Macaca mulatta: one gene and its partners. The protein of the gene in region 2 purifies or fractionates together with the protein of the main gene of each other region. This does not show direct contact. Links are inferred from orthologs where the notes say so. Each region holds a gene or a part of one and is shown on either strand. Other genes may lie near its edges.

Region 1 (6,424 bases), on a different chromosome or scaffold from region 2:
TACCGTTCTGGTCAGGGATTGGGCCGCTTCTTCAGTTCCTAATACCAGACCAAGCCTCCTGATGCCTTTCTGCACTGCAATTGTGTGATTGAAAAATGAGATGTTCATCCAAGCAGTCAAGCCACAGAAACCCAGCATGTCCCTGTCACGATCTCATGGGCACCTTGATCATGTCTTAACCTTCCATTAACCTTGGGGCTCCCAAGCCAGAGTCAAGGTGACGCATGCCTCATGCCACCTCAAGGTGACAGCTCATCCCCAGCACAGCACAGGCGTGTGCACACAGAGGTGTTCCTTGCACCCCCCTCCCTCTCAGGTGTCCTGAGATGCTACTCCTGGGAAACCCCTCAGAAAACTCACCCGAGACAAGTGCCTGCTGGACAGAGGTGTGATCCCAGGCCTGGTGTCATATGACACCAGCATGCATCGCAGGATTATTAGTGTATTTTGAGTCTAAAAATAATAAATATGTTTGAAGTAGTTTCCTATTGTGTAGTTAGTTTGCTTATCAACCATGATAGGTATCCAAGACCCCAGAGGGAGACAGAGGTGTTATGGAAGAGGCTTGAGGCTGGCAGCCAGGAGACCTGTGTTCTGGCGCTGCCACTGCCTAGTACACAGTAGTAGTTATGGTACCTCTGCGTTTCTGGGCTCAAGTCTTCCCATCAGTAAAATAGGGGTAACAGAAGCCTTCCCACAGACCATTAGCTCTCTTGGCTGCCCTTGTCTGACGATTTCAGTGGTACATTCTTTAGCCCCAGTAATTTTCTCAGCCTGTACACTGGCTGGGTTCCCTTTGCATGTCTGGTTAGCTCTGTTTTCTGCTTTGCTCTCTTCTGCCTAAGTCAGCTAAATATTATTGGGGGAAGTCAGCAACTAATTGAATTTCAGATCTCTTGTGGGTCTTCCACTGGATCTTTTTTGTACCTCTCTTCATTCCTTGTATCTTTTGACATCCTGTGAAGTTTTTGCAGTAGCTGTTCCAGTTTTCATTGCATTCTCCTTTTTCCTTCATAGCATCCATCTCACACTCAGCAGACAACCATAATTCTTAATTTACAGAGATGACACAGGCTATGGAGCAGGGTTCCATCAGTGCCCACCCTCTGTCTCAGGAAGAGGTGTCAGTCTTTGCAAAGGCAAACTCTTTATCTGGTTACTCTTCTCCCACCTCTTAAATGTAGCTCCTGTCAAGTTCTATTTTAGAGCTTTTGTCTGTTGGAGCAGCCGCCACTTTGTTTGAGGCCCATTGAGAGTTTGAGACTCTCTCCAGTCTGTTTAGGGGACTTCAGTAGTTGTTGGTTGAGCATGCACCCCACATGGTGCCCACTGCGAGGCACTGGAGATGCAGAGACAAAGAGCTCCCACTCACCCACCGCAGCTACACAGACTGCAGAGGAAGCATTAGGTTAAAGAATATTATATCTTTTCCTGAAGTTTTCAGAAGTGCATGGTCCATACTTGAGACTGCAAGGGAAAGGGTATTTACTTATAATTCAGGTATACTTTCCTAAAATATGCATTCATATTAAAATATACTTTTGTTTTTCTGTAGATGTACAAGTTCTTTTTAAGGGCTTCATGATATTCTACGTGTGTATACTTCACCAGGTCTCTTATCAGTGGACAGTACAAACAGTACTACCATGAATGTCCCTGCACTCGTATCTTTGTTTACAACTGCAAGTGTTTCTGCAGTATGAGTTCTTAGAAATGTTACTGTTAAGTCGAGGACGTACGCGTGTTTTGCCAAACTACCCTCCGAGATAGCTGAATCCGGTACATTTTAAAGCAGGAGGCGGTAGAAGACGCTCGGCGGTTCCGGCCTCCGAGCAGCAGGCGGCGCTGTGAGCCGTCTTCGCGGAGGCCACGCTGACTGACTTCCGGTGTCGGCGGTGGCGCAGGCGCAGTCACCGCGGAGCTGACGCGGAGGCTGGCGGCCACGGGGAGCGATGCCGTACGCCAACCAGCCCACCGTGCGGATCACTGAGCTCACTGACGAGAATGTGAAGTTCATCATCGAGAACACCGACCTGGCGTAAGGCTGCCGAGGGAAGAGGCTGGCGGCTCTGGGGCGCCGGGAGGCCCAAGCCGGGGCCCCGGGGGCAGGGAGCGGGGGTGGAGTGGGGGTGATGTCCTTCCAGAGCTGCCCCCCTGCGCCAGGGCTTTAGCTTTGGGAGCCTGCGGCGCGGGCCCAGCCTGTCGAGGCTGCAGCGCCTTCACGCCTCTTGGCTTTTCGTCTTTCAGGGTGGCCAATTCGATTCGGAGGGTCTTCATCGCTGAGGTGCCCATAATAGGTAAGCGACCCCCCTTCCTCGTTCCCGGGCCCACGGGTTCCTGCCCCGCTCTCCACCCACACTCCCTGGGGCTCCTTCCAGTCCTTGGTTCGGGCTGAGGGTGGTAGTGCTGAGAAAAGTGCATTGCTGGAGACTTGACCATACCCTGTGCCCTTGGCCCAGTGGCCGCCTCCCTGGCACCCACGGACCACTTAGGTCCACTGTTGTCCTGCGTATGCATTGCTGAGAAGCATGGGTTTAACCGTGTGCAGACTTGGGTTCAAATACTGTTTTCACTACTATTGTCACAAAAGTTTTTTAAATGTTTTCAACTTTTATTTTGGATTCAGGGGGGTACATTGGTGCAGGGTTGTTGCCTGGGTATAGTGCGTGATGCTGAGGTTTGGGATATGAATGATCCTTTCACCCAGGTAGTGAGCGTAGTACCCAATAGGTAGTTTTTTACTCCTAGCCCCACTGCCTCCCTCCCTGCTCTAGTAGTCACCAGTGTGTCTATATTGTCATCTTTATGTCTATGCGTGCCCAGTTTTAACTCCCATGCGGTGTTTGGTTTTCTGTTCCTGTGTTAATTCTCTTAGGATAATGGCTTCCAGGCCGGGCTCACGCCTGTAATCCCAGCACTTTGGGAGGCCGAGGCTGAGGAACACCTGAGGCCAGGAGTTCGAGACCAGCCTGGCCAACATGGGAAAACCTCGTCTCTACTAAAAATACAAAAATTAGCCGGGTGTGGTGGTGCACACCTGTAATCCCAGCTACTGGGGAGGCTGAGGCAGAACTGATTGAACCCGGAAGGTGGAGGTTGCATTGAGCTGAGATCATGCCTCTTACGCTCTAGCGTGCGCAACAGAGTTGAGACTCCTTCTCAAACAAAAGAGAATAAAAAAGAGGATAGTGGCTTCCAGCCGCGTCCATGTTGCTGCAGAGGACATTATTTCGTTCTTTTTAATGGCTGCATCAGTTACTATTTTTGAGAAACTTGGGCAAGTTATTAAACTTCTGCGTACTTCAGTTTCCTCATCTGTAACATTCAGCCACTAATGATCTTTATCAGGGTAATGTTAAGGATTAAGTGAGGTAATCCATATAAGTGCTTTATGTTTAGTGAGTGCTCAGTGCTGGTAGATGGCTTTTTTATTAATCTATTCCTTCAACAGCATTTATGGAGCATGTAAGTGGCAGGCATGGTGGTAAGCTCTGGGAATACAAAGCTGTAGAGAACATGGTTTTTGCCCTCATGGAGTCCACAGTGAGGTTGCAGGGGGAGAGATGAATCCACAGACAACACTAAAGCAAGGTAGACTGATCAGTAGTTCAGGAGAAGCATAGCTATGGTGCAGTTGGCTCTTAGAGGAGGGAACATCAATTTCTGGTCTGGTTCCAGCCACTTTGCTCCAGGTGCTTAATGCATTGATTATACTTGTATGAAATACTTCAAGCATTTCCGAGAGTCAGGTCCAGAGAGTTTGGGTTAGGCAAAAGAAATATGTGGCATCAAATATTTAGACTTTTAAGGAAATAAGCAAGCCAAATGATTAGGCAAGAGAACATTGTAGTTTATCCACTACCAACCCCGGCCCCCCAGTCACTTCTTCAATTCAGCTTGGAGTGCTGGACCTCCCCCTGACTAATCACTTCATGTCTCTGGACCTCAGTTTCGTCAAGAGTCAGGTGAGGGAGTTGTACTTCATGATGCAGCCCTGCCATTCTGAGTCTAAATGCCTCTTTCCCCACAAATTCAGTTCTACAAATAATGTTGAGCACCCAAGCTAGGAATACAAAGACATCCCAGCACCTGCCTGAAGGAATTTCTGAAGCTTGGGGTATAGACATAACATACACAAATGTGACACAAGGCACACTATGACAAGTGTCTTCAGGGAAGTCTGAAGAGAGTTTCATGAGAGAGGAGGTGAAAGAGAGGGAGTGCCACACCTGTAGCATAGAGGGCAGGCAAGGCTTAGTTTTTAGGAGGCACAGAGGATCTTAACCTGTACAGTGAGGAGGGGAAGGGTGTGCTGGAGGAAGGGGCCGGGGGATTAAAGAGGCAGAAAAGCTTGGGTCAGGGTTCTCTTAGTTGGCTTGGACTGGGGAAGCAATGGGAAGCATAGCAGGACAGAGTAGGTGGAGGCCTAGCATGTGGAGGTCCTCTTCCGACCTCTGTTCCTAGTGTCTGTGTCCCTCATTTGGCAGTTGGGCTCCAATGCCATTTGATTCCTGGATTTAGTTGGTTCCATGCAAATGTTTATGAATGAATAAATATGTGTTTAAGTCAAGCGTGTGTGATAGATAATACCGTCTTTACCTTCCTACCTGCTCATTGCTGCTAGGGATTGGGTTCTATATTTAGTATGCTTTGTGCGTTAAAGGAATTCAGTAAAAGTCTGTTGGTTGAATGTTTAAAAAGTGCTAAGTTGGGCAGTCCAGTCATTATATCCTAAAATATAGGTATGGCCCATAAGTCTGTGTTACTTCTGTGAGGTTTTCCCTGACTTTGAAGTGCTCAAATAGTTCATGTTCTTGGATTTGGTGGTGGCACAGGTAGCAGATTTAAGTGCTTCTCATGGAAATACTCAGCTCAAATAAACATGTTTCCACTCCCATGATATTCTCTGAGTCAGTGTTTTCTGTGAAGCAGGGAGCCCCCTGCGTTAAATCACCTGGGCAGGGAGGTGAGGTGTGTGGTGTGTGTGGGTCTTATTAAAATGCAAGTTCCTGGGCCCCACTCTAGTGCTGTGGAATCAGCCCAGCCTCTGCAGTTTAGTGTCAGGTGATTCCTAAATCTTGAGAACCACTGCATTAAGTCTCTAGGTAAATTTGATGGCTAAACTCCATGTCTGCTTCTTTCATTTTGTAGCCATTGACTGGGTTCAGATTGATGCCAATTCCTCAGTCCTTCATGATGAGTTCATCGCTCACAGGCTTGGTGAGTACTCCTTTTATTAGAAGGGAGGGTACTGTGCCTAGTGTCAGGAGGGGGCTTCCTTCCAGCCTCACCCCCCGGAGGCTTCTGGGTTCTCATTTTGGCTTGGCTGTTTGGTTTTCTTTAAAGTGCTTTTCTGTTTTTTACAGGATTAATTCCCCTCATTAGTGATGACATTGTGGACAAGCTGCAGTACTCCCGGGTATGCTGTGTGATTGGGTGGAATGTGAGGTTTGGTGGGGAGGCCTTGGGTCTCAAAGGGATTTTTCCTGACATTTGGCATCCAGCTTGAGTAGTATTGTAGGTCTGGAACAACAATGTGGAGATGTTGTCTAGAGCCTGGGCAGGCCTTGATCCTTGGTTCTGATGGGGCTTCAGATTGATTAGCATGCAGAACATCAGGAAATGTTGTTAGCCAGCTCCACCAGATTGCCTGTTTACAGTGGAGGTTCTTCCTTCCAAAGCGTCTCTTCCCAGTAGCAGGGGCCTTAGGATGCTACAGGAGTCAACAGAAGGTTGGGGTAGGCAAGGAGCAGAGGGAATGGGAGCTGTCTCATAAGAGCAGCTTCTGGGGAACTAGTCCTGGTGTCTGCAGATTCGTGCTGTCCCCTCACTCGTAAGTGATGCTGCTTAAACATGGCCACACTCTTACCCCCTTCCTCCTGGTCGTGTTTGCTCCCTGATGGCATGTTAACAGGCCTTCATAGTTTGGAGAGAGTGGGATAGTAGTAGGTTACCTTCATCCTTTCACTAGGCTGCATTACATAGCAGCGTAAGACTACTCCCTCTTGATGGCTTTGGGTGATCCAGAATCAGTCCATTTTCTAATATTCTCAAGGGCCATGTCATTTTTGTGATGGCTATGATATATCTTATAAATATGTATTTTTTTAAAAGAAATATTCGGCTGCATGCGGTGGCTCACGCCTGTAATCCCAGCACTGTGGGAGGCCAAGGCGGGTGGATCACAAGGTCAGGAGATCGAGACCATCCTGGCTAACACAGTGAAACCCCATCTCTACTAAAAATACAAAAAATTAGCCGAGTGTGGTGGCACGTGCCTGTAGTCCCAGTTACTTGGGAAGCTGAGGCAGGAGAATGGCGTGAACCCAGGAGGCAGAGCTTGCAGTGAGCTGAGATCGCACCACTGCACTCCAGCCTGGGTGACAGAGCAAGACTCCGTCTCAAGAAAAAAAAAAAAATTCAA
Region 2 (7,499 bases):
TGTATTTTTAGTAGAGATGGGGTTTTACTATGTTGCCCAGGCTAACCTCAAGTGATTCACCAGCCTTGGCATCCCAAAGTGCTGAGATTACAGACATAAGCCACCACACCTGACCTGTTGTCTTATTTTTCAATATGGCTGCTAGAAAACTGAACACAGCCTCTGTGGCTTGTGTGTTTGGCTTACATTTTTATCAAAGCGCAGCGATGTGGATCATTCCTCTTAGCTGCAGTCTGTCTGGGTTTTGTTAGTTGGCGAAGTAAGAAGCCCTAAAACTGAATAGTAAGAAGAATTACTATTTACTGTGCACAGATACTTACTCTAAGTGCTTTACAAGTAATGACCCATTCAGTCTTGTGAGATGGCATGGCTGCATGAAGTGAGGTTAAGCAATTGTCCAGTCATGAAGCTCCAAGGAGGCTGAGTTGAGGCTGAAGTCAGGCTGCTGGCTCCAAAGCCTGACCTTGTAACCACTAACTGGACAAGGCCCCGTGAGACACGGCATAAATCCACCTAAGAAAGCAATGACCTTAGAGCTTACCTTGTGGTGGGGCGAAGTTTCCTTCACTACAATACATTCTCCTTACATATCAATGGAGTGTCTGTCTTTCCTGACTTTTAACAGAGCAGGTTATAAACAGACACACATTTGTTGCAGCAATTTCAGCTTTAATGAAACCAGCACAGGCAGTATTTTTCTGATATCCGCTTGCAACATTATGAAGTCAGCTTTACTCTTTGCCACTAATTATATTAACTATTTTTAGGGCAAACTGTCAATGCACCATACTGGTTCATGCTTCCTAGGTTTTCAATTTATTTTCTTTAGCCATATCTATTTATACCTCAAGTGTTTTTCTTTTAAGAGTCATCCTCATTTTCCTGACAACGATATAGTTGTGGCTCATAATTAAGTTATAAAACATGCTGGGAGGCCAACGATGACGTGTGATTGCCATGGGGGATATTATTGATGAATATTGGATTGGTTTTTGAATTCTGAATTCAAACCCACTTTAACATTTTGAATCATAAAGTTACAGAACTGGTAGGGACCCGAAGTCTCTTTAGCGTTGGTTAAGATCATAGGCTTGGAGTCAGCAAGCAGCGTGGACCCTTAGGCTGGGATCTTAACCATTGTAAGTCTTAGTTTTCTTGTCTAGAAAATGGGGATCCTGACATCCATGTTCTAGACCTCTTTTTGTGGATTGAGACAGTGACTGTAACTCTGTTCCCTGTATCTACTTTTATTCCATGGTAGTTGTGGTAATTACTATTATTATTATTATTACTATTACTATATTATCTTTCCCCAGATGACTCTAAGGGTATACAGTCTCTTCAAGCACATCTGGCCCTATTCTAACAGGCCTTTTTCTCCTCCATGCTCTACCAGAACTCCTGGACTTTCCCTTAGTTGGAGAGGTTCATGGTTAGAAGGAAGAAAACCCTGCAACCCACTCCCTCCCTTTGCTCTCTCTCTGGGGCATCGTGGGCAGCTCTTGCTGCAGAGAGCTGTGCTGAGGCCCTTTACCTGTACAGCGGACCCTCCAACAGCACTTCTGTCTATGGTCCTACTCGGCAAGGATCTGCCTCCACACAGCCCTCCCAATGTGCCTGAAAATATCAGCAGTGATCCTTTCCCTGGCCACCTTGCTCTTAAGGCTCCTGTTCATAGTACTATGTGGATGTGGACCTCCTCGCCTCTCTGCACTGCCCATGATGGTGGATTACAGCAGAATGGGCTCGCCAGTTGACAGCTTTCCCCACTCATGTCTTCTAACTAGCTAAGCTTAGGGTGGCTGTCCCCATTGCGCAGAAAATTGCTACTTAGCCCTCATAGCAAACTTGTTTTGAGAAGCATAACCATAAACCCATCTTTGGCCTACGATCCTAGGGAGTCCTCATGCCAACAAGACCTTTTGGGGTCAGCCACGAATGTGAAGTTAGAATGCAGTTTAGGCTCTGCCATGACTCTGAACTAAATATGATTTTAGGGGTGAGGAAACTGGGACCTAGGGGTTTGAGGAACTGGCCCGAAGGTATGGAGAGTACCTGACTTTGTCGTTCTTCCAGGATATGATATTTATTCCTGGCACGAATCCCCTCTACCTTGTATTGAAAGCAAGGACAGCCTCCCTGCAACCACACATTACACCTGGCCATCCAGCAGGTGCATACTAAAAGTGTGTTGAGTTGAATTATCAGACTCTCAGCAGCCATGCAGCACTGAAGGGACCGCAATCCCTTTGCCTCTGCGTCCTTAGGGCTAAGCAGGAGGTCTCGATGTCTCGCACTGTGGGCCGGGCCGGGTTTGGTGCCTCAGCCAGCAGGTAAGTGCTGTCTACGCCTCCTGCAGGTCCAGTGGTTCCTCTCCAGACTTGGGTGCACTGGGCCAGGCTGCGCCTTACTGACCTCAAGGCTTCCTGTGTTTGTGGCTTTGGGGCCCTCTTCATCGTGTGAATAGGAATAAGAAGATTGTTATTTCTGGCCAGGTGCGGTGGCTTGCGCCTGTAATCTCAGCACTTTGGGAGGCCGAGGAGGGCGGATCACCTGAGGTGGGGCGTTCGAAACCATCAACATGAAGAAACCCCGTCTCTACTAATAATACAAAATTAGCCGGGCGTGGTGGTGTATGCCTGTAATCCCAGCTACTTGGGAGGCTGAGGGAGGAGAATCATTTGAACCCGGGAGGCGGAGGTTGCTTTGAGCCGAGATCACGCCACTGCACTCCAGCCTGGGCAACAAGAGCGAAACTCCGTCTCAAAAAAAAAAATTGTTATTTCTGAAATAAATCCCCTATTTCTCACTATTTAATAATATTTAAATAATTTTGGGTCTTGACTCAACCCAAAACCAGGCACCCCAGACCCACCCACGGCCCGTCGCCTAGCAACAGTCTCCCCACCCCGCCTCCGCCCCGTTGCCAGCCGAGTGCCCAGTGCGCATGCTCAGAGCCTTCCTCCACACTGCGCCCCTGCAGGGCGCGCGGTGGTGACGTATAGAGTTCGCGACGCTGTCGGCGACCCGACCTCTGGGTTAACCTAACCCCGGAGCCATGGCCTCTGCTGGGGTGGCAGCCGGGCGACAGGCGGAGGATGCATTGCCGCCAACGTCCGACCAGCCGCTGCCTGACACCAAGCCGCTGCCGCCCCCTCAGCCGCCGCCTGTCCCTGCGCCTCAGCCGCAGCAGTCGCCGGCGCCACGGCCTCAGTCACCTGCCCGCGCGAGGGAGGAAGAGAACTACTCCTTTTTACCTTTGGTTCACAGCATCATCAAATGGTAAGAACCTAGGAGAGGACCAGGCCCCATACTCCCTCCAGCTTCTCGTCTCAGCCGTTTCAGAGCTTCAAGAGGCCTTGGCGCTCTAGGGCACGCCCCCGTTTCGCAGATGGGGAAACTCAGACCCAGAGCGGGAAGAGGCCTTTCCCAAGACCACAGAGACATTCCATGAGTTAAGCAAACGATTTGAGCCCCGAGAGGTGCGATATCCTTAAGAATGAAGCCAGCTTAGAGACTACATACAGACTCTTGTCCAGCGGCTCAAACGTGCATCCCATCGATCTTGAGCAAATTAAATCTCTTTAAGTCTCAGTTTTCTCACCTTTAATGTTAGTAATACTCACTTTAGTTCCTTATTTCAACAGACTCAACAGATAAGCATCATCTTCCCTGTGTGGGACACTGCCAAGTGCTATGGGATGGACACAGTAAAAGGGGCATAGAAGGAAAAAAAAAGACATGATTGGGAATAACCCATAATTCAAAAAGATTGAGAGGGGAGCGGTGGCGATGGGAAATATTAGACTAAGCAAAAACACAGAAGTTGCCTGAGATGATTAGACCCACCTGTACTGACTTTGTTCCAACAGTACCAAAGGAGATAATTGTCATCCTTTTGGCCAGCCTTTAGGGTAGCCTGAGTTTTCAAAGTGACTCTGTAAAGGAAAAACCAAAAACAAAAGCACGAAAGTCTTACTGATCCCAGTGTTTGCCTAAATTATTATTTTTTTTTTTGAGACAGGGTCTCGCTCTGTCACCCGGACTGGAGTACAGTGGCGTGATCTCGTCTCACTGCAGCCTCAACCTCCAGGCCTCAAGCCATCCTCCCACCTCAGCCTCCCAAGTAACCGGAACCACAGGCATGAGCCACAGCACCCAGCGAATTTTTGTACTTTTTGTAGAGATGGAATTTAGTCGTGTTGCCTAGGCTGTAAATTATTTTCATTATGTTACTTCACTCTATATCCACGTGATAGTAGGTGTAAACCCTTAGGCTTATAACTCTTATTCAGCCATTAAAGACCACAAAGTAAATTAAAAGAAAATTACGAATCCAGTAACATTCAGGTGAACATGAATGTGCTCTTCACTGTTTTACTGAAACGGAATTGTTACAACGTGAAGGTCTTGACCGTTAGTGGCCCACCCACTTTTGAGTTTAAGCAAACTAGATTCACTTGCTGTGGGATGACCTGATGCTCTTCTGCCACTTTTCAAATAACTACAAAGGCTTTGTTCTCACATTAGACCCTGGCTTCATTTGGCTTCACTTGGTGTTTACTGTTTATAAGGGCCGGGCGTGGTGTCTCATGCCTGTAATCCAAGCACTTTGGGAGGCCAAGGCAGGCGGATCACGAGGTCAGGAGTTTGAGACCAGCCTGGCCAACATGGTGAAACCCTGTCTCTTACTAAAAACAAAAATTAGCCAGGTGTGGTGGTGGGTGCCCGTAATCCCAGCTAATCGGGAGGCTGAGGCAGGAGAATCACTTGAACCTGGGAGGTGGAGGTTGTATTGAGCCGAGATCATGCCGTTGCACTCCAGCCTGGGCAACAAGAGCAAGACTCTGTCTCAAAAATAAATAAATAAATAAATAAATTTAAAAAAATGTTTCTGGGATAAGACAGCCTGTTCAGTTTTTGTGAGCCTGTGATAATGATCACAGACAGAAATACGTATGGAGCCCCTATAATCCCAGGGCAGTGCCGGATTATAAAGGGTTTAGTCAGATTAACCCCAGTTTACTGGTTTTAAGAAAAATGTGGAAAAAGGAAAACACAAAATGTACACATTCACAAAGACAGCTCTTGAACCCCCCAAGAGTATATTCTTGAGCCCTGGTAAAGCAGCTGGATTGGGCTGGCCTTAAAGATGTAGTAGTAAGTTATACTACAGAGAAGAGGCTTTGAAGTTAGACAGTCCTGAGTTCAAATCTGTATACTGACATTTTCATGCCTTCTAATATTGATATAAATGTCTAACCTTTCTAGGCCATAATCTTCTTATCTCTAATATGTCCATAGTGGACCTCAAAAGAGAGGTTTAGATTATGTAATAGCTCTATAATGTGCTGACTGGGTGACCTGGGCAAGTAGCTTAGCTTCTCTGAGCCTGTTTTTCTCTTATGAAATGGGAATGCTTATGTCATAGGATTGTTGGGAGATGTACTCAAGAGCGTACCTGTGAAACCTAGTGGGCTGATCACATGTGCTTGTCTCTGTTTCGTCTAAAGGGACACAGAAGGGACTTAAAAAAAAAATACATAAAACCTTCAGATGCAGTGGCTCATGCCTGTAATCCCAACACTTTAGGAGGCTGAGGTGAGCTGGTCGCTTGAGCCTGGGAGTTCAAGACCAGCCTGGGCAACATGGCAAAACCCCATCCCTACAAAAAATACAAAAAAAAAAAAATTAGCCAGGCGTGGTGTGTGCCTGCAGTCCTGGCTACTTGGAAGGCTGAAGTGGGAGGATCACTTGAACCCAGATCATGCCACTGTACTTTAGCAAGGGTGACAGAACGAGACCCTATCTCAAAAATAAAAAGCATAAAACCGAAAAGAATAGGACAGGAGATGATCGCTACAAAGTGAATGACCAGTGCTAATTCATCTACCAACTCCTAAGCAGCTGGCTTGTTAAACATGGCCTACCCCCAGATCTCAGGAACTCTAGTGCAAGGACCCCCTGGAAATAGGGGTGAAGGTGGGTCTAAGAACAGGATGATTACTTGAAGTCTGTTTAAGAAGCAGTCCTGTCCCACCTCCCAGCCCCTCCAAGCGGCCAGGTGACTACCCTTCTTCTAAATTGGTGGGTGGTTAAAAGGTTACTCTCCCAAGATTTATTCTTAGGAACAAATAAGCCAGAGAGTACCTGGACTGGGGGACAACAGGCACACTGCAGGGGTAGGTAGGGGGAATCATAACTGAAAAGAGGGATTAAGAGAAAGTTCGCAGTCTGAAGAGAGACCCCACTCGAGCCTTCCCCCACCTGGCTTCTAGATTGGCAGCCAAAGAGAGTGGAAGTGCCCTCTCTATCGTGTGTGACCAATTAAGAGAAAAGACATTGGAAAAAAAAAAAAAAAAGCCTAGTCAATTAATTCTGAGAAAATGAACAAGCATCACTCATTTGCAGAGCTTCCACTAAGCCTTTTAATGTTTTATTCTTAAACATATGAGTGGATGACCAAGGCCACTAAGCATAGGAAGAAACCCCCTGGTAAGAAAGACACGGGTCAGGTGCGGTGCCTCATGTCTGTCTGCAAGCCCAGCACTTGGGGACGCTGAGATGGGAGGATAGCTTGAACCCAGGGAGCTGAGGCTACAGTGAGCCATGATCACACTGCTACATTTCAGCCTGGGTGACATAGACTCTGTCTCAAAGAAGAAAGAAAGAGAGAAAGAGAGGAAAAAAGAGAAAGACAAGACAGAAGAGCAGAAAAAGCCACTTGGAGGGAACAATAGCTGCAAAGGAATGGAGTGGTTCTGCAGCTGTAAATATGAGAAGAGGCTAGGATCCAACCTGAAAACCTTCAGTATAGGCGTGTCTTTTGAGTTTATAGGCTAATGAGGGAGGAATAAGGGCAGAGGAGGAAGGGAGAGGAGACCACGTGAAGCCTGGGGGAGACAGAAGGCTTGGTGAGATTGATGCCAACATGAGTCTTCAATTAGGAAAGGGAGGCAGGAGGAAGGGTGGTATAGGAAAAACATGTAAGGACACGAAGCCAAGAAATAGCATCTACTCATGGGAGTCAGCTTCTAGCTTGGTGGTGCTGAGCATACATCCAAGGCAGGAAGAGGGGACTGGGGAGGAGGGAAGAGCCAGGAAACAGTGCAGGGGTCTTCTGAGGGATGGGGAGCTAGTGCAACTGTCAGGCTGGAAGCCAGTCAAGACACAGTCGTGGCGGGCGGAGATGAGGGCTAGGATCGTGTCCAGTCCACCCAGGTGGTGCTCTCTGGCCCTGGGTCCCTTCCTTTCCTATAACTTCCCCAGTGATCCTTTTGTTATTTTATTTTTTTTTTTTTTTGGAGACGGAGTCTCGCTCTGTCGCCCAGGCTGGAGTGCAGTGGCCGGATCTCAGCTCACTGCAAGCTCCGCCTCCCGGGTCTACGCCATTCTCCTGCCTCAGCCTCCCGAGTAGCTGGGACTACAGGCGCCCGCCACCTCGCCTGGCTAGTTTTTTTGTATTTTTTAGTAGAGACGGGGTTTCACTGTGTTAGCCA
Region 3 (6,523 bases), on a different chromosome or scaffold from region 2:
CAGCACTTTGGGAGGCCGAGGCGGGCGGATCACCAGGTCAGGAGATTGAGACCATCCCGGCTAACACGGTGAAACCCCATCTGTACTAAAAATACAAAAAAAAAAAAAAAAAAAAAAAAAAAGGGAGAGAAATAAGGAAATGAGACGTGTGAATATCTATTCCAGGCAAAGGCATCTGCCCCCAAGACCGGGATGTACTTGGCAATTTTGTAGGGCCTATTATATAGGCCGGGGGAGGATGTCAGATTTTATTCTAAAAGTAGTAGAAAGATTTTGAATAGAAGAGCGTTAAGATTGGTTTTATATTTTAAGAAGGTGTGGTAAATAGACTAAGGCAGGACAAAAATCAAAGAAATCCAGATGAGAGATAATGGCAGCATGGCATAGGACCATACCAGTAGGGACGGTGGTCAGTCATATTTGGAACTTTATTTACTTATTTTTAAATAGAGCTAATGCAAAAGGCTGGTATGGTAGTTTCGGTGGGGTATGGGAGAAAGGAGAAAAAGGTGATTCCTTAGATTGAACATTTGCAATTGAGTAAAGTGCAACGGGGTAAAGATGTCTGTCACCACTGGATATGAGGGTCTGAAGTGCAGAGGAAACGGTGTTCCAGGGCCTGCATGTATCTGGGTGATATCTGACTGAGAAGTGGTTGGAGAACTGAGTCCTGGGGCAATCCAAATAATCAAATGTGCCAAATGCTGCTGACAGAGGGAGTAAAACGAGGACTGGGAACAAGCATTGGAAGTCACGGGTGCAGGACATATTGGGGTCAGCAGTGAGGATGAATTTCTTCAGGAAATAAATTTATATGTGCGGGGGAATTAAAATGGGGGAGGCCGGGCTACGTGGTTCACGCCCGTAATTCCAGCACTTTGGGTGGCCAAGGCGGGCGGATCACTGTAGGTCAGGAGCTCGAGACCAGCCTCACCAACATGGTGAAACCCTGTCTCTACTAAAAATACAAAAAAAGGAAAAAAAAAAAAAAAATTAGCCGGGTGTGGTGGCACATGCCTGTAATCCCAGCTACTTGGGAGGCTGAGGCACGCGAATCGCTTGAACCCCGGAGACAGAGGTTGCAGCGAGCCGAAATCGCGCCACTGCACTCCAGCCTGGGCGAAAGACACTCCGTCTCAAAGAAAATAAATAAATAAATAAAACAAAATAAACCAACAAAAAACCCTGCATATCTATATTTTCGAATTTTTATGTAAGATGTCTTCATTGTATGGGTTCAATTAAAAAAGAAAAGACAAAAGGAATGGAACTACCAGCTGCGACTGTCAGCAGAAGAGTTGTAATGCGGGCAGCGGGTGGAACACACGAACAACCTTTGCTAGGTTTTCTTTGGGAGGTTATTTTCACGTCATAAATGTCTAAATTCATGGAAGTCTTACAAGAGCATGTTACATATTAAAATATAAGATTTTTTTTTTTTTTTTTGAGACGGAGTCTCGCTCTATTGCCCAGGCTGGAGTGCAGTGGCCGGATCTCAGCTCACTGCAAGCTCCGCCTCCCGGGTTCACGCCATTCTCCGGCCTCAGCCTCCCAAGTAGCTGGGACTACAGGCGCTCGCCACCTCGCCCGGCTAGTTTTTTGTATTTTTTTTTTAGTAGAGACGGGGTTTCACCGTGTTAGCCAGGATGGTCTCGATCTCCTGACCTCGTGATCCGCCCATCTCGGCCTCCCAAAGTGCTGGGATTACAGGCTTGAGCCACCGCGCCCGGCAAAATATAAGATTTTTTCTAGTCAATAAGGGGTCTATAAAAAATAAAGCAATAAGATGTCTTGTTTAATTTTATGCCTTAAAGAAACGAAGAAACAACCCTCACCTACTACTTTTAAAAGTCAGTGAAAGGGGTGGCGATGGCAGGAGTCGAATATACGCAGGCGCAATAGCGAGCGATCGGTCTGAGGCGGATCTAGAATCTCGTTAAAGGACAGCTCCTACAGCCAATCAAAGACAGAGTCGGTGGCTTCTTCCAGGAGGAGACCGGAAATTGGTTTCGGCTGCAGAGGGGGAAGGCGGCTACCAGTGTAAAGCCAGAGTTGAGGTGAGTGGGCGGCAACGGCTTGGGGCTCCCGCGTGTGTGCGTTTTTTTCTTCCGGACCCCGCGGTTTCCTCTGTGCTGGGCTGGGAACTGGGGAGGCATGGAGGAGTTCGGCCTCCGAAGACGCTCTCTCGTCTTTCTGTCCCGAGTCTCTCCGAGAGCGCGGCCTCCCCGCCGCTCGTGGAGGTCTCGGGATGGACAGCCTGGAGGAGGGGGCTCTTAGCGCTGCAGTCCCAGGGCTTCCTCCGTGTGGGGACGCCGAGCCGGAGTGGAGGTTGGGAGACGTGGTGTCTAGTCCCCTCGCCGCTGTTTTTCTAGGCTGTGTCGCCTTGGGCGAGTTATTTGCCCTTTCTGGCCCTTTGTAACATGAGAGTAGCCCTCCCTGCCCTTCCTTCTTCTGGGAGCAGTTGTGAAACAGCTGAGATACGGGGGCAGGCGAGGGCAGTAGATCCCAACCAAGCCTAATCGTCAGGTCCATCTGGAGAGGTTTTTAAAGCGACATACCAGGGCCCATTCACAGTGGACAGAATGAATCAAATCTCTGGGGCTGGGACCCTGGAATATCTGTCGTCTTCTGGTGAGGCGCCTTCTCCCCCAGAACAAACACTAGATGTTGGATCTTGAGTCTAAGAACCAGTTATGATGCTTGGCTCTGGTTTTATTAAAATAAGACTTCCATCGCCTTTGAAAAGTTCCATCTAGAGAGACAGTAGAGAAAAATATAATTTTTGTAATATGCAAGTTCTAATTGTACAATTAGATGCTTCACGGCTTAGAGATATAAGAGAGCTTGCCCTTTGGAGCTAAAGGGACCTGGGATAAGAATTCCTGTTGTACCATTTATTAACTTTTTGATCTGGGGCAACACTTCCCCTCATTGAGACTTGGGATCTTCACCTCTAAAATGAAATTGATAATAGAACTTAATTCATGGGACTCTGTGGTGGCTCACGCCTATAATCCCAGCACTTTGGGAGGCCGAGGTGGGCGGATCACTTGAGGTCGGGAGTTCCAGACCAGCCTGGCCAACATGGTGAAAACCTGTCTTTACCGAGAAATAAAAAATTAGCTGGGCGTGGTGGCACACACTTGTAGTCCCTAGCTACTCAGGAGGGTCATGCAGGTGAATCCCTTGAACCCGGGAGGCAGAGGTTGCGGTGAGCCCTGATCATACCACTGCCCTCCAGCGTGGGAGACAGATTGAGACCTTGTCTCAAAAAACAAAACAAACAACCTTAATTCATAGAATTGTTATGAAGATTATGTTAGAGAGGCCATAAAACAACAGTATCTGTCACGTAGTTGCCTTAGGAAAATGACAACCTAAGTACAGGAATGCACATCGTGTAGGAAAGTACAGAGCAGCACTCCTCACCTAAAAAGGTTTGAGTGGAATGAAACGTAAGGTGTCAAAAACTGTGTTTTGAAGTACCAGATCAATGTTAATTCCTTGATTTTGGTAATTGTGCTGTGGGTAGAAGAAAACATTCTTGTCCTGGGAAAACACATTGAAGTATTCAGGGGTGAAGGAATGAGAAACCAATAAAGCAAATGAAGGAAAATGTTAACATTTGGAGAATCTGAGTGAAGAATATGAAGTGTTCTTTGTATATTCATGCACTTTTTCTGTAATCTGAATTTATGTTATAAGTTTTAAAATGTTGGCTGGGAGTGGTGGCTCACACCTGTAGTCCCAGCACTTTGGGAGGCCAAGGCAGGAGGATTGCTTGACCTCAGGAGTTCAAAACCAGCCGGAGTAACATGGCAAAACTCTGTCTCTACAAAATATACAAAAATTAGCTGGGCGTGGTGACATTTGCCTCGTACTCCCAGCTGCTTGGGAGGTTGAGGTGGGAGGATGGCTTGAGCCTGGGAGGTCGAGGCTGCATCATCCTATGCACTACTGTGGCATGGTGGAAACTCAGGGCTGCACCACGCCTGCCCTTAGTACCTCACGAATTCTAAGTATAATATTGCTTCTAATAGAATACTTGCCCCACCTGATGTTAGAGGGTGTTATATCTTGAAACTTTGATAATACCAGTGTAAAGGAGCACTTCAGAATCTTCTCATTGGATGGTATATCTAGGCTTAAGGTAGAGTAAGTAGAGGTTATTATGGCCATAGAAGATACTGGGTTTGAACCTGGGGTTTGAAATTTCTGTGATAGTTGTAGGGAAGTTAATGTGTCCATACAGGCCGGGCGCGGTGGCTCACACCTGTAATCCCAGCACTTTGGGAGGCCAGGGTGGGCGGATCACCTGAGGTGGGGAATTAAGAGACCAATTTGGCCAACATGGCGAAATCCTGTCTCTACTAAAAATACAAAAATTAGCCGGGCATGGTGGTGTGCGCCTGTAATCCCAGCTACTTGGGAGGCTGAGGCAGGAGAATTGCTTGAGCCCAGGAGGCGGAGGTTGCAGTGAGCTGAGATCGCACCACTGCACTCCAGCCTGGGCATCAGAGCAAGACTCCGTCTCAAAAAAAAAAAAAAAAAAAAAAAAGTTAATGTGTCCATATAAAATTGCATAGTTTACTGTGACAAAAAGGATATGGAACTGAATCATTTCATTCAGGAACTTTGGATAATACCATGTCTTTAGGATTTAGCAGTGTTAATTTTGTCAGTGTTTATGAGAGATACAAGTAAGTGTTTGCTATTGGAAATCAATCTGTAACATAAAGCAAAAGTGATTCTGATATGAGATTGGGAGACAACGTGTAGTTTGGTTATGGAGGAGTAGAGAAATGGGGGCATAAATGGTGAAGGGTGTGGAATCCAGAAGATTTTCTTGTTTTTTTTTTGAGACAGATTTTCGCTCTGTCGCCCAGGCTGGAATGCAGTGGTACAGTCTCGGCTCACTGCAAGCTCCGCCTCCTGGGTTCACACCATTCTCCTGTCTCAGCCTCCTGAGTAACTGGGACTACAGGCACCCGCCACCATGCCCGGCTAATTTTTTTTGTCTTTTAGTAGAGACAGAGTTTCACCCTGTTAGCTAGGATGGTCTCGATCTCCTGACCCTGTGATCCGCCTGCCTCGGCCTCCCAAAGTGCTGGGATTACAGGTGTGAGCCATCGCACCCGGTGGAAGATTTTCTTTAGAGATCAGAAGATGCTACAGATTTTTTCATGCTGATGAAATTATTAGGGAGAGAATGGAAAATATGTGAATGGTTGAGAATATAATGCCTACTTAGAAAATATGGCAAACTTTACCTATCATAAATGTTAGTTTTAGAAACCAAGGAGATCATCTTGTCTTGGACCCCAAACTACTGGAAGAAAAGGAAGAAAATATTCTGTCTGTAGTTATGAAATGTAACAGGTTTGTTTTGTGGCTCTAATAAATCTTTGGTCTGTGTCCATAGGTTCTTGATAGTCCACAATGGGTGAACCACAGCAAGTAAGTGCACTTCCACCACCTCCAATGCAATATATCAAGGAATATACAGATGAAAATATTCAAGAAGGCTTAGCTCCCAAGCCTCCCCCTCCAATAAAAGATAGTTACATGATGTTTGGCAATCAGTTCCAATGCGATGATCTTATCATCCGCCCTTTGGAAAGTCAGGGCATCGAACGGCTTCATCCTATGCAGTTTGATCACAAAAAAGAACTGAGAAAACTTAATATGTCTATCCTTATTAATTTCTTGGACCTTTTAGATATTTTAATAAGGAGCCCTGGGAGTATAAAACGAGAAGAGAAACTAGAAGATCTTAAGCTGCTTTTTGTACACGTGCATCATCTTATAAATGAATACCGACCCCACCAAGCAAGAGAGACCTTGAGAGTCATGATGGAGGTCCAGAAACGTCAACGGCTTGAAACAGCTGAGAGGTTTCAAAAGCACCTAGAACGAGTAATTGAAATGATTCAGAATTGCTTGGCTTCTTTGCCTGATGATTTGCCTCATTCAGAAGCAGGAATGAGAGTAAAAACTGAACCAATGGATGCTGATGATAGCAACAATTGTACTGGACAGAATGAACAAAGAGAAAATTCAGGTCATAGGAGAGATCAGATTATAGAGAAAGATGCTGCCTTGTGTGTCCTAATTGATGAAATGAATGAAAGACCATGAAAGATGTTTATGTTTCTTTTTTCCTTTTGATAAATAGCCTCATATATTAGTTTATTTTCTTTTGGACAGTCTTAAGAGAGGTTTCAGTAAAAATGTAAACAGCTTTAATCTTGACTCCAACTTTTTCAATTATGAGATGTCATAGGCAGTAATTTCACTGTATAACAAGCATAGACAAATGAGTACCCCTGCACTAAGAATAATCACTTTAAAAAGCAAAGTGTTCACCGCTGTTGTATGGGACATTTCTATGTTTTGGAGTTGCAGTAAAACTTTGATGATAACCTCAGTAATAGCAAAAGTTTTCGTCTTTGAAAAGGGGATTTATCATTTGCTTTAAGAATGATAGAGGAATAATGGATATCAATCTATAAATGTAAAACTA
Region 4 (6,463 bases), on a different chromosome or scaffold from region 2:
CGCTCTGTCACCCAGGCTGGAGTGCAATGGCACGATCTTGGCTCACTGTAATCTCTGCATCCTGGGCTCAAACTATTTTCCTGCCTCAGCCTCCCAAGTAGCTGGAACTACATGTATACACTGCCATGCTGGGCTAATTTTTTTTGTTGTTGTTGTTGAGACAGAGTCTCGCTTTGTCGCCCAGACTGGAGTGCAGTGGCCGGATCTCAGCTCACTGCAAGCTCTGCCTCCTGGGTTCACGCCATTCTCCTGCCTCAGCCTCCCGAGTAGCTGGGACTACAGACGCCCGCCACCTTGCCCGGCTAGGTTTTTGTATTTTTTTTAGTAGAGACGGGGTTTCACCGTGTTAGCCAGGATGGTCTCGATCTCCTGACCTTGTGATCCACCCGTCTCGGCCTCCCAAAGTGCTGGGATTACAGGCGTGAGCCACCGCGCCCGGCCTAATTTTTATACTTTTTGTAGAGACAGGGGTCTCCCTATGTTGCCCAGACTGGTCTTGAACTCCTAGACTCAAACAATCTGCCTGCCTCAGCCTCCCAAAGTGCTAGGATCACAGGCATGAACCACCCTGCCCAACAAGATTAAAAAAAAAAAAATTTTTTTTCGTTTTGAAATTCCAAACTTGCCAACATCACTCATGGCTTCTCTATTTCAATCCACGGCACCCACATGTTCCAGATATTTTTGGAAAGCAGTACTCCTCGGTTCACAAATCTTAATGGTTTCTTTTTGCCCTCAGGAGAACACTCAAATTCCTTTTGACTGGCACTCAAGGCTAATTACATCTTACTCCAACTTAGCTTTGGGGCCTCATCAACCACTACTCCTCTATGCAAAATTTCTGATCCGTCCAAATGAATCTCCCTATCGCCTCAAAAACACACCCCTCACATTATTTCATTTTAGGAAAATTCTTCCTAATTTTTCTTCACCAACATGAATTATTCAAGGTCTAGCTCAAGTGACATTTTATTCTTACTGTCATTTTGGATAGCAACACACTTTGAAAACCATTAGATAGTTCTTAATATTGATGGCTAAGATATTGTTAATTGCTGTTGTGAGGCATGAGCACAAAATGAGATGGAGTTGACAGGAAATATAGTCACTATCCTTAAACCACAAATTTTACATTCCTAACTAATCTCCTTGAAAAGCAATGACCAGCATTACTAATCTCTCTCTCCATCTCACCCTCCTCATACACCCAGCATTTGCCCAGAACAGATATTCAATCTGTCAACTGACTGATACCAATAGCTACAATCAGAATAGGGAAGGCAAAAGAAAGATTAAAGGAAACTGCTGGTGGACATCAACCACTAACTAATCAAAGGGATGTCAACTTCTCCATGTTTCAGTTTTTTCAATTATAAAATGTAGATAATAATGCTACCTCAAAGGGCTATTCTAAGTATTAAATACTACTTCATATGTGTTGTGAACTTTGAAGTACCATACCAATATCTGTCGCTACTTCCCTCAAGTCATGATGCGGAACTAAGACTTGAGACAATGAAAGGCATCTGGGAGGCCAGGCGTGGTGGCTCACACCTGTAATCCTGGCACTTTGGGAGGCCAAGGTGGGTGGATCACCTGAGGTTGGGAGTTTGAGATCAGCCTGACCAACAGGGAGAAACCTCGTCTCTACTAAAAATAAAAAACTAGCTGGGTGTGGGGGCGCATGCCTGTAATCCCAGCTACTCGGGAGGCTGAGGCAGGAGAATCGCCTGAACCTGGGAGGCGGAGGTTTCAGTGAGCCGAGATTGCGCCATTGCACTCCAGCCTGCGCAACAAGAGCAAAACTCTGTCTCAGGAGAAAAAAAAAAAAAAAAAAAAAAGAGAGAGAAAGGCAGCATCTTGGAGACCAAACATGTCCAAAACAACTCGATTTCCACCTCTTCAAACTTGTTCCTTCCTCATCTTCCAAGTCTCGTACCCATACACCCAATTATTCAAGCTGAAAACTTAAAAAGGCATCAATTCCTCTATCTCCTTCACTTCTATATACAATATGTATTTTTAACTGAGACAGCTTCTTCCTCTATCATCTAAGCTGGAGCACAGTGGCACAATCACAGCTCACTGCAGCCTCAACTTCCTGGGCTCAAGTGATTCTACCACCTCAGCTTCCTAAGTAGCTGAGACTACAGGTGTACGCTGCTATCCCTAGCTAATTTACTTTTATTTTTTGTAGAGATGGGGTCTCATTATATTGCCCAGGCTGGTCTCAAACTTTTGGGCTCAAGCAGTCCTCCCACCTCAGCCTCCCAAAGTGCTGGGATTACTGGCGTTAGCCACAGCACCTGGCTCTATATTCAGCTTTTCAACCCTGTCAGCTCTACATCTAACACCCTGTATCCATTTACTTCTCTAAATAAGTACATTTGACCAAGTTCCTATGTTAAAATGGCTTTCCTTGGCTGGGCACAGTGGCTCAGGCCTATAATCCTAGCACTTTGGGTGGCCAAGGTGGGAGGACTGTCATTGGCCAGGAGTTCAAGACCAGCTTGGGCAACACAGTAAGACCCAGTCTTTACAAAAAATTTTTAAGTTAGCCAACTGTGGTGGCACATGCCTGCAGTCCTAGCTACTTGGGAGGCTGAGGTGGGAGGACAGCATGCGCCTAGGAATTGGAGGTTACAGTGAGCTATGACTGTACCACTGCAGTCCAGCCTGGGTGACACAGTGAGACCTTGTCTCTATAAAAAATTGTTTTAAATGGCTTCCTTTTGTATTTACAATCTAAATGCCTTTATTGCTTTATAAAAGCCTCTGCCTAACTCTCCCAGCTTCATCTCTCTCCTAACACTCTTTCCTTTTGTTCACTTCACTGGAGTCCAACTGATTTTCTGTCCCTCAGATATTCTAAGCTTTTTCTCACATCAGGGTTTCTGACCTCATTTCCTGTATCTAGAATTATCTCTCCCTCCTGTCCATAGCTGGCTGGCCCTTTGTCTATGCTTACATTTTAGTTCAAATTTTAGCTATGTGGAGAGAGCATCTCTGGCCACTCTAGCTAAAGTAGTTCTGCCCCTCAATTTTTTTTTTAAGAGACAGGGTCTCATCTGTTGCCTAGGCTGGAGTGCAGTGGCACAATCTTGGTTCACTGCAGCCTGGACCTCCTGTGTTCAAGCAATTCTCCTCCCTTAGTCTCCTGAGTAGCTGGGGCTACAGGCAAGCACTACCACGGCCGGCTAATCTTGTATGTTTTGTAGAGACTGGGTCTCGCCATGTTGCCCAGGCTGGTCTCAAACTCCTGGGCTCAAAGGATCCTCCTGCCTCAGCCTACCCAAGCGCTGGGATTACAGGCGTGAGCAATGCGCCTGGCCACCTTCAATTTTTTATAATGTTTTCTCTTCCTAGCATTAACCACTCTCTGACATTATCTTGTTTACAATGCCTCCTACACTGAAATGTACATTCCAAAAAAGGCAAGCATCTTGTCAGTCTTGTTCACAACTGTATCTCCAGCATTTAGAAAAGTGCTTGGTACATAGGTACTCAACAAAATAATTTTTTGAATGAAAAGAGTTTGGTTCGATTCTTACCCCTTCTTTGATGACACCAGGAAACGCAGAAATCTTGGAAGAGTGGCAACTTGCCCCAAACCCACAGCAAGTCTGTGGGAGACTTGTAACTAAAACTTTAGGTCCCCAAAGATATTAAATCAGGCCTCTCGAGTTCCAAACTCAAACTCTTGATTTTTTGTTTGTTTGTTTTTGTTTTGAGACGGAGTCTCATTCTATCGCCCAGGCTGGAGTGCAGTGGAGCAATCTCGGCTCAATGCAACCTCCGCCTCCCGGGTTCCGAGTAGCTGGAATTAAAGGTATACGCCACCACGCCCAAGTAATTTTTGTGTTTTTAGTACAGACAGAGTTGCATCATGTTGGCCAGGCTGGTCTCGAACTCCTGACCTGAGGTGATTCGCCCGCCTCCGTCTCCCAGAGTGTTGGGATTACAGGCGTGAGCCACTGCGCCCAGCCCTAGATCATTTTTTAGGGAGACATAAACCAGTGTCAGGAACACAGCCTGGACATGGTGCAAAAGACAGTCACGGAGATGCACCACCCCGCTCCCCGCCATTCATCCCTTTGGTTGAATTCAACTCATCCCTCTGCTTGTGAATCCTAATAGCCCTTTCGACTTAGGGCTCCACAGTCCGGGTATGCGTTGCCTAGGTTACCTCGCACCTCCGTTAGCCGGCTGAGAGCCACGCCCAACACCTCCTCTCTAAGATTTGATTGGCTGGCTTTGGCAAGGCCGAGTACTCACCTGGCAGTTCCCTCATGAGGTAAAAAGGGCCACAGCCAGCTCCTGACTTGTCCGCGCCGGGAGGGGCCGTGGCCGCGGTGGGAGGCGGAGCCGTGCCGGGTCCCCCGCCCGGAGGAGGCGGTGGCGGGGGTGGAGGCTTTCCTGGTCCGAAGCCTAGTGCGGTTGGGGGCGGTGGTGGGTCAGCCTGAGCCCCGAACAGCGCCGTGAAATTCTCCATCGTCCCCTCCGCCCCGGCGCTGTCTCGGTGTCTGGCGTTGGTAATTTTCATTGGACAATGCCTTTAAGGAATACCCACCTCTTTCTCAAGGAACCGCTTGTCATTGGATGCCTCAGGCACCGCCTACCTTGTTTCAACAACTACTTCCGTCGCTCTCTGAGAACGTTCAGGAAGTGCTATTTAACCTTATTAGAGTCTTCTGCTAGCTACGTTAGCTACAGTCCAATAAAATGACTTAAGCTGATAAAGCGACAGCTAGACCAACCAATAAGATATTAAGTTCTTTTTTGGGTTCTGACATACCACAGCGTTGACAGAACTACATCCGGGTTTAGAGGCCGTACGTTTGAGATGTAGCCCAATAGCAGTCGCTATGGTGGGGGAGGCGGGGCCGGACCTACGACGCCGGTGAGCAGTGGCCCTTGCGGCCGAAAAGATGGCGGTCTTGGCTCCTCTAATTGCTCTGGTGTATTCGGTGCCGCGACTTTCACGATGGCTTGCCCAACCTTACTACCTTCTGTCGGCCCTGCTCTCTGCTGCCTTCCTACTCGTGAGGAAACTGCCGCCACTCTGCCACGGTTTGCCCACCCAACGCGAAGACGGTAACCCGTGTGACTTTGACTGGGTGAGCGTCCCGCGTCTCAGTACCGCGACCTTGACTGTCCCTGCCCTTGCAGGTGCATCTGGGAACCCTGGGGTTTACCTTTCTGAGGACACCTGAGGTTCCGAGCCTGTAGCGGATTTAACAGACTGTAAAGTGCAGAGTCCGAAACATCGTCGAGACTAAACTTTGTGTTTAATATGGGAAAACGGAACCTGTTAGTCGTAGCCCTGTACAACGGCCCAACAGCTTCTGACTGTTGAGTCCAGGTTTCTTTCCATTTCACCATTTAGACTAAGAAACAGCCCTGTCAAAACTGTACATATACGTGTATAGCATCTTACAGTGCCGCTCATTATGTAAAGCCTCCTGAGGAGCCAGTAAGGTAGGGAAGGCAAGTAGTAGTAGTCCTGTTTCATTGGTGAAGGAATGGATCTTGGTATATTTAGGCGACTTGCCCCAGGTCATGCAACTAATGAGTGCCTGGGACTTGAAACTATTCTTGTGGCCACACTACCTGCACACACTGTCAGCCGTTTCTTAATTCAATCAGCATTTCTAGAGTGTACACTCTAGGCACTCTGCTTGATCCTGAGGATGCGAAAGTGGATAAAATTTTGGGGCTACTGTAAAGGAATTGTAAAAAATAAGTTGTAAAGAAATCTTTGGGCTTTCTTTGAGAAGTGTCCCAAGCTCCTTGCTGTGCTTCCTTGGAATGGGTGGAGGGACTGCTCAGAACATGAACTTAAAGCACTTTACCCTCTGCTATATAGCATGTAAGGGCCAAGGCAAAGCTTCCCCTTAGCTCTCTGAGGGTTTGTTGAAAAATCAGCCGACAAAGGGCACGTTAATAGGAGAAAGGCACAGAAATTTTATTTTAACGTGCATAGCATGAGGGAATTGAAGGAGAATGACCCAGTGGGGTACAGAGGCTTATATACCCTTCTTCATAGGAGTATGGGAGATGGGGAAATGTGGGTGATTTTAAGGTGGATTGTAAATGACTTTTAGGGTGATTCAGTGGCCTGGAGAACATACAGTGGCGTGGGACAATGACTGTTGGGCCTGCAAAGCAGACAGTGGTTTCTGACAAAAATCTGTCCGGGTGTGTTGACAGGCTTCAGTCTTTCTTCCTGTACTATGAGTTAAGTTAATGAAAACTCAGGGAAGAGACCAGAAGTAATTGTTTTCTTCTTTGACAGGTCTGGACTTTAGGCAGATAAGGTAGTTATCAGAGTAAAGCTGCTTCCAGTATCTGCTGGTATCCAGGGACCTTTAATTTAAAATAATTAGCATACAGGATGCCATATTTTGGGCTGTGAGTCCCTGGTCTCCTTTATTTCCTTTGTCTGAAACTTCCTTAGAAGTTT

What was found.
Region 1: the proteins of MED9 (region 2) and POLR2C purify together in Homo sapiens (affinity purification with mass spectrometry; 3 studies listed by BioGRID and IntAct, with this or other methods). This does not show direct contact. The link is inferred for Macaca mulatta from reciprocal best matches to the Homo sapiens genes MED9 and POLR2C.
Region 3: the proteins of MED9 (region 2) and MED7 purify together in Homo sapiens (affinity purification with mass spectrometry; 5 studies listed by BioGRID and IntAct, counting the BioPlex papers as one, with this or other methods). This does not show direct contact. The link is inferred for Macaca mulatta from reciprocal best matches to the Homo sapiens genes MED9 and MED7.
Region 4: the proteins of MED9 (region 2) and MED19 purify together in Homo sapiens (affinity purification with mass spectrometry; 6 studies listed by BioGRID and IntAct, counting the BioPlex papers as one, with this or other methods). This does not show direct contact. The link is inferred for Macaca mulatta from reciprocal best matches to the Homo sapiens genes MED9 and MED19.

The regions. Positions count from the first base shown.
Region 1 is NC_133425.1:53,058,058-53,064,481, forward strand, and holds the start of POLR2C (DNA-directed RNA polymerase II subunit RPB3), read left to right. Parts: upstream 1-1,899; 5' UTR 1,900-1,952; coding exon 1,953-2,038; intron 2,039-2,247; coding exon 2,248-2,297; intron 2,298-5,151; coding exon 5,152-5,220; intron 5,221-5,366; coding exon 5,367-5,419; intron 5,420-6,424. UniProt on the Homo sapiens protein: Core component of RNA polymerase II (Pol II), a DNA-dependent RNA polymerase which synthesizes mRNA precursors and many functional non-coding RNAs using the four ribonucleoside triphosphates as substrates.
Region 2 is NC_133421.1:19,030,115-19,037,613, forward strand, and holds the start of MED9 (mediator of RNA polymerase II transcription subunit 9), read left to right. Parts: upstream 1-3,026; 5' UTR 3,027-3,058; coding exon 3,059-3,282; intron 3,283-7,499.
Region 3 is NC_133411.1:166,006,039-166,012,561, reverse strand, and holds the start of MED7 (mediator of RNA polymerase II transcription subunit 7), read left to right. Parts: upstream 1-1,998; 5' UTR 1,999-2,057; intron 2,058-5,422; 5' UTR 5,423-5,439; coding exon 5,440-6,138; 3' UTR 6,139-6,523. UniProt on the Homo sapiens protein: Component of the Mediator complex, a coactivator involved in the regulated transcription of nearly all RNA polymerase II-dependent genes.
Region 4 is NC_133419.1:15,681,327-15,687,789, reverse strand, and holds the start of MED19 (mediator of RNA polymerase II transcription subunit 19), read right to left. Parts: upstream 4,526-6,463; 5' UTR 4,493-4,525; coding exon 4,276-4,492; intron 1-4,275. Other genes in the region: TMX2 (thioredoxin-related transmembrane protein 2), read left to right, coding at 4,929-5,117. UniProt on the Homo sapiens protein: Component of the Mediator complex, a coactivator involved in the regulated transcription of nearly all RNA polymerase II-dependent genes.